Linked DNA regions of Tribolium castaneum. The protein of the gene in region 1 binds, or shares a complex with, the protein of each later gene. Links are inferred from orthologs where the notes say so. Each region holds a gene or a part of one and is shown on either strand. Other genes may lie near its edges.

Region 1 (3,288 bases):
TGACGAAGAAGAAATCGGAAGCGCGCAAGCAACTCTCACTCATTTCCGCGCTCGTTAAGTTGCGGACGGTTAGAGACGCCATGGCCACGCAAAGGGGCGACAAGTTGTCGCTGGAGGACAGGCAGGCCTTCGGGCACGTCACGGGTAAAATTGGCCAAACAAGACAAACACTTCTACATAACTAAACTTTCAGAGAAACTAATTCGCATGTGGGAGAACTCGTACCAGAGCTACTGCAAAGAGGAGCAATGCTTGAAAGTGATGCTGGAACACAACGCCAGTAAGGACTCCAAAGCGGCGATCGCCGCCAAACAAACCCGCATTGTCGACGACTGGGAGTCCCTCCTATTCGGCCCCCGAGACCCCCCCGTCAACAACCCCACCTTCTGGGCTCTAACGAGCGCCGACCGCGACTTGGAGACATTTATCGCCATAAGGAAAAGTTGGGACACGTTTCTAAGTCCGGGGAACGCCTCAGGCTCGGCTATTCCACTCGGGTGGGTCGCCCCGCCCGAGGCCCCCAGCGAGAGTTGGGCCCCGTTTTTAAAAACCGACTAATGCTTTTCTATTATTTTTAATAAAATAATCACAATTAAAGCGCCTTGCGGTGGTATTCAGGTGTGGCGTTCCCGTAGTCTTGCAGGCTGAACAATTGGGCGCTGTTTTTGACCAGATATTTCAAGAAATCTTGGATGTTCTGGAGCAGGAGTTGGATGCTGCGTTCGTCGAGGGGCGTGTACGCCAACATGGCCCCCAGCTTGACGAACAGACGGAGCAAGTGAGTGGCACCGTACACCTCAGACATGGGCTTATCGGGGTAGGTTTGCAAGATATCGGCGTACTGGGGCCGCTCGAACTTGTACAAAAGTTGCGTCCCCAACATCACGTTAAAATACTCCTTGATGCCTTTGACGATTTCAATCGTAGCCGACTCTTTGCTGGAATTATTCGACTTGATTGACTTCTTGTAAGCGAGATAGTTGTCCAGAATTTGCTCGACTGTGACTTTTGCCGGCAAATTTGCGAGTTTTCGTTGTCTGGTAATTACGTCCCAGTCGTCCACCAACCAAGGTTTCAACTCGTCAGGGATTTTAACCTTGATTTCAACCTTATTCAAAAATTGCTCCTCGGACTCGACCGAGGGGTCCAACCGCCCCCTTTTCTTCCGGGGCACGTCTGAACCCGAGTCTTGCCCACTCGACGGTGTGCTTATTTTGCTCTTCCCCCCTTTGATCAGTTCATTATTTGGGGTACTAGATCTCGAGTCAATGTCTTTCGTGGCGTCGGTTTTACTCTTCTTGGCCTTTTTCGTCTTGCTGGGTTGAGTCGAGTGGGCTTTTTGCACCTCCTTTTGTCTCGCAACGTTGGCCTCGTTGTATTTGAGGACACGGCTTTCGGGCACCCATTCGTCCCAACTGCAAACACACGACTGTCAATTACAAGGCCCCCCGAAAACACTTACACACTTTTTGTTCCAACCAGCGTAATGGATAAAGTACTTCACTTGCTTGTCCTTGGTTATGGTCGACTTCAGACATTTGGCTTCGTAAATCAACGGGCCGTGGAAGCACAAAACCTTCTCGCCTGGAAAAGGGGTGTTTGGGCGGCTTAAGGGGGCGACCACGTGTCTTACCTTCGGAAAATTTAAACTTGGGGGGCATTTTCGGCTTCAAACAATTTTTTTTGTTTTGACAATTGACAGTTGGTTGTGGCTACCGGCACATTTGTGCCGGTTATAACGCGTCCCGGTGCCTTTATTTGTTATTTATTGTATTTTGTGAAACATTTATTTGCTTGATGATTGATTTGGGGCGAAATTGTGCCAGGGTTAGTTAATTATGATTGATTACAAGCCAGAAGTGGCTACGGTCACGCCATTTTGTCAACATAACCTAGCTTTAGACGGCGTTTGAATTTGGCTTGGAATGGGTGAGTTTGTTTAAATGTGCCCCCTGATCGTGTTATCGTGGGTTTAGAGTTGCAGAAATCGAAGAAAAGTAAGGTTAAGCGGAGGCCCCCTTTGCCGGAGGACGACACCTCCGGTGATTTGCTCATAGTGGACGAGTCTGGTGCTAAAACCAAGTCGCCGGTGAACAAGCCCCCGTCCGCATCGTCCTCTGGTAATAAAAAGCGCAAAAAACGCGACAGTGCCTCAAGTGACGAGGAACGGTGGCTCACTGCCATCGAGTCCGGGAAGCTTGAGGATGTTGACGACGAATTGAAGAAAATCAAGCCGAAGGACCCGGCCTTGATGACGGCGCGACAGCGCGCCATGTACGAGCGTGAGGTGGACGGGAGCCCCTCTGTGACCACCCCCACGTTAATGTCGCTCCCGACTGGATATAAAGTAATTCAGTTTGTTTCAATTCAAATAGTTTAGACTTGTTGGTTTAGGAGAAGGTCATGACGGCCGAAGCGATTCAAAAAGCGGCGATCAAGTCGCAGAAACGCAAACAACTGGCGGACGAAAAGCGCGAAAAGGATAAGAAGAAGACGATGGAAAGGCTGCTCAAAAAGCAGGAGTCGAAGGCGGCCAAAGCGGCGAAAAACAAAATCACCAAAGCGCAAACCCCCATGATTTTGTACCGTCAGAATGTTGGGTTAACGACAGTGTCGTTCCCGCAAGGGATGGACTGGCCCTTGCCGGGGGCGGGGGGCAAAGAGCCCCCGAAAGCCACACTGTGTAGCATGGGCTGTGGCAATGTGAAAAAATACTCCTGTTCGCGGACAAATGCACCGCTGTGCAGTCTAACGTGTTATAAAAGGAATATCGCTAGTCGGATTTTGTGAGGGGAAGGGAAAAAAGGCCAGTTTTGAGTCAGAGATACGGTAATTTATTTGTTTTACATTTGTTGGGTTGTGACTAGGCCACTTGGATGGCGCGTATTAATTTTCGAATCAAAGTGGCCCGAGCCAATCACAGGCCACTTTGATCAGTTATTGTTACCGGAAGGAAACATTGTATGTGACTCTGTCTATCTGACCTATTTTGGCACGTGTGGGGCGCCCCTAGCGGGAAACTTCCCCGAAATTTGTGCATCTTAAACAAATAAACTTTAAGGTACTGTTCGTTTGTACAGGGTGCTGCTTTTTGGGTGTCCGAAATTAAGAGGTTAGAGAAAAATTAGAGACACATTCTCGGGTCAAAACCGCATCTCCCGATCGTCTTTTGTTTTCGACTTATAAACAAAAATTGACATTTTAGCGAAATCTTAAAAAAATCATATCTTTCTTATTATAAAAGATACACGTTTGAAACAAAGACATTATACAAGCACTCTTTTCCGG
Region 2 (3,785 bases), on another chromosome or scaffold:
TTTGTTATTGTCAGAAATAACTGTCAACAATATTACATAACCTAACAACTTTCTTTCTCTGAAATCGGAATATTCGCGGTTACAGTAATTTTTCACTTTATTTTTACAAAACTTATTGGCTGGGATTAGTAATACACAACAAAAAATGGTTCAAAAAACTTTATTTTTGACCTGTACATTTTCCTTTCATTCAAATTACAAGAAAAAATGAAAAACTATATTCTACAAGAAACAATGAGACAAATAAATTAATATTCTAGTCATTCTACAATTCTACATACAGTTTAGGAAACAATAAATGTTAAAATTCGGTTAACATCCTGAAAGGCACAAAATTGTACATATTGCTCATAATAATTGTCATGATTTCAGTTGTTTTAATTAATCAAAGGTTATTTAAAAAAATAGGAAAAAAGCATGAGTGTAGCTGTAATGCTGTTCCTAATGCTAATAAACCTAGGATATGTTGAGATTTGTTAGCTGAGAAAAATTACTGTATCTTAGTTTATGCACATTTGCGACAAACTGGACAACTTCTGTTTTCTTTGAACCATCTTGTGATACACTGATCATGAAATTTATGTTTGCATGGTAAAATAATGCCACCATCACCTTCAGGCAATGGTTCACAACATATCACACATTCCGGAACCGAGTTTCTTCTTTTTTTTCTGTAAAAAGGTGTTTTTGTACGTTGCAGTTACATAATAAGTTACTCACTTGTTCTTTCCTGTATCTGCTGTATCTGGTGTTCTTTCCTGTACCCTCGGTGTGTACACATATGTATACTTATTGTCGCTCTGGTGACAAGAAGCTGTGTTGTTTCTAGCAGTGTAGACTTCATATATGGCCAACCCAATTGCAAAAACCATCGCAGTCATAAGAACTATGCCTTGAACTCCCATCTTTGTTTTCTCTTTTTGTAACGGAAATGTGGCTGGCTATTGTAACAATTACCTACCTTTGCAACAGCAACGTCAGCAGCAGCTGAAGACGACTTATTGATAATTCTGTAATTCCCCTCGATTTATCAGGACCACCAACAAAAAGACGAGAAATAACTCATTTTCACCCTTTTGGTGGGGTTATTGCGGAGGAAAAAATGAGATCAATTCTAAAAATATTCCCACACGCACGTATTTATTCCATTCATTCATTGTAAAGTGCCAAAATCTTTTTTTACCAAAATACGAAAGGACTCGAACGCTTGTTGCAGTGACATATGAAACTTAGCTATTGGTACTTACTGATAATTCTATGGTATCTAGCAAAATACTAACCTTAAAATTTCGCAGTTTGACAGATGGTGTTTAGTGCTTGTGTTTTTTATTTAATTAGGAAAAATATTAAATAAAAACCATTTACTTTGTAATAAAACTTATCATTGGTTTGTTGTCCCTGTCCCAGGCGAGAAATTCGTTACAATGGCAAAAAGAGAAAAACGGGCAAATGCCGGTAACCGTATGGCAAAATTGTTAGATGAAGAAGAAGAATGTCAAGACGAATTCTACAAAACCAATTATGGTGGTTTTGAAGAAACCGAATCCGATAGGGAATACGAGTACTCACTTCTGATTCATTTTGTTCCGTTTTGTTATGGTTTAATTGCAGGGAGGAGGAAGAAGGCGAAGATGTGGTAGATTCCGACTTTAGTATTGACGAAAATGACGAACCTATTTCAGACAATGAGGAGGAGGGTCAGAAGAAGAAACGAAGATTAGTTACAAAGGCTTACAAGGTAATGCACGATTATGACGTTCGATTTTTTGTTAATTTTTATCTGAAACATTGTAGGAACCAGTGCCTGCACCCAGTAAACAAAAAGCAAAACCAAAACCCACAAAACCTGTCCCTAAAGTCAGAACAACCCAACATGAATCCACAGAATACGGTTTGAAAATAACGAGTTAGTTAATAATATTTGGCAACAAACGTGTTACAGAAAGAAAGTCAATCAGGAAGTCCACAGCTGCAAAATCAGCCGCAACAGCACAACGCATCAAAGTACGAAATCTCGAACAAAAGAAAAAAATCAAGAAACCGAAAGAAGAAGAATGGGTGCCAACACAGGAAGAGTTACTCGAAGAAGCAAAAACGACCGAATTGGAGAACTTGAAGTCACTTGAAAAGTACCAAAAGATGGAAAGTGAGAAGAAAACGAAACGAACTGTGAAAAAAGTCATCAATGGCCCTGTTATCCAATACAGATCAACACGAATGCCAATCATTGAGGAAATCAATCAAGATAAAGACATCAAGAACGAATCAGAAAACGTGTGCGAACGCACGTTTATCTCAGTGCTTAATGACCCTAACGATGCCACATTTAACAGCATTTTTGAAAAAAAGACAGCGCGTCCGCTTCCACGACGTCTCAGATGCATTGTCACAGGGTAAAAATAGCTATTTATATGTGCAGGGGCAATTCTTGCTCCCGTCACGTGTACAGGGTGAGTCATTGATATGACATACACCGTCAGTGGTATCGTATTCTAAAATTCTTTGTCCGATAATACAGTCTTCCATTTTTACAGTGCAGTCTAAACATAATTTTTTTAAATGTCAGGGGTTATTTTTTTATTTTTCTACAATTTAATCTGCAGGCATATTACAGTGACTCACCCTGTATATATTTTTTTCGCCTAATTTGGAGGTGCAATGTGCACAGTATGTCTTTCCTGTCTAGGGAGGAAAAGACATAGTTTGCACTTTTGAATTAGGGAGCAAAATATTTTCTAAAAAGCGACGCATTTTTTTATTTTTATTTATTTTGTGTTTTCAGTCACCTTGCAAAGTACGTTGACCCTAAAACGTGTCTGCCTTACCACAGCAGCATGTGTTTGAAGATAATTCGTTCTGCTTATTACCAACAACTGGAAGCTCATGGAGATAAGAGTAATCCAGTAGTTGCAAACTGGCTTAAGTGGTACGTTAAGAATAAGGATAAGTTAAGGAGGGAGTTGGCGTTGAAAGTAAAAACACATCAGGTGGATCACAGTTGATTTATTTTGCTCTATTTAATAAATTTTTATAATACAGTTTCTATTTCTTTCAAATAAAACTGTTTTGGTCTGAGATCAACACGATTAAATGTTAGTGAATGAGTTTGCAACAAATTTGGACGAATGAAAAGCGTCGAAAACGTTTAGTTAATATATTTATTAAACTGGTGCACAAATAATACATTACCATAATCTCAGTAGCCAATAATTTGGCTGAAAATTGGCTTATGAAGTACAACAAGAATTAATAACATTAAATATTATTAATATGACACATAAATTACATCTAGTTTAACATATCATATAAAATTAATAGGTATTTGATAAGCTACCTCATTAATTAATGCCATTATTACTTTGTTAAAATAATTTTAGCACTTGAGTATGAACAGTGTATATCAAAAGAGTAGTTCGATTAACAATGCGAATTTGTTAATAGATTACTGTTTTAATATACAATTCGTTAAAACTCTGAGAAAACGAAATTAATCTCTAATCTAAGTACAACATAATGTAAATATTTATAATAGTTAAAAAATCTTTAAAGTACTCTCAGCAAAACAATTTCATGTCCGAAAACAATTTTCAATAAAACATTCTCTACAAATTGCACATGTCTGATAGTAACACTATTGCACGAAAAAAGGTAAAGATTCTCGTTACAACAAAATGAGTATGATTCTAGATTTGATATTTATTGCTTACTTTGGACGGAAAAAAATGAGATAATCCGCACGTATTGCTTAAATAAATTTGAGAAACTAAAAAATTAACAATAAATAA

Evidence for each region.
Region 2: MRG15 (region 1) and YL-1 share a complex: the UniProt entries of both Drosophila melanogaster proteins name them as parts of the tip60 chromatin-remodeling complex. The link is inferred for Tribolium castaneum from reciprocal best matches to the Drosophila melanogaster genes MRG15 and YL-1.

Annotation. Positions count from the first base shown.
Region 1 is NC_087400.1:991,229-994,516, reverse strand, and holds MRG15 (mortality factor 4-like protein 1), read right to left. Parts: upstream 1,773-3,288; 5' UTR 1,662-1,772; coding exon 1,634-1,661; intron 1,585-1,633; coding exon 1,467-1,584; intron 1,416-1,466; coding exon 593-1,415; 3' UTR 559-592; downstream 1-558. Other genes in the region: uncharacterized protein LOC657630, read left to right, coding at 1-144, 194-558; INO80 complex subunit B, read left to right, coding at 1,926-1,929, 1,977-2,347, 2,395-2,790. UniProt on the Drosophila melanogaster protein: Part of the Tip60 chromatin-remodeling complex which is involved in DNA repair. Upon induction of DNA double-strand breaks, this complex acetylates phosphorylated H2AV in nucleosomes and exchanges it with unmodified H2AV.
Region 2 is NC_087397.1:8,922,364-8,926,148, forward strand, and holds YL-1 (vacuolar protein sorting-associated protein 72 homolog), read left to right. Parts: upstream 1-1,278; 5' UTR 1,279-1,424; coding exon 1,425-1,561; intron 1,562-1,611; coding exon 1,612-1,738; intron 1,739-1,794; coding exon 1,795-1,891; intron 1,892-1,942; coding exon 1,943-2,393; intron 2,394-2,782; coding exon 2,783-3,002; 3' UTR 3,003-3,038; downstream 3,039-3,785. UniProt on the Drosophila melanogaster protein: Part of the Tip60 chromatin-remodeling complex which is involved in DNA repair. Upon induction of DNA double-strand breaks, this complex acetylates phosphorylated H2AV in nucleosomes and exchanges it with unmodified H2AV.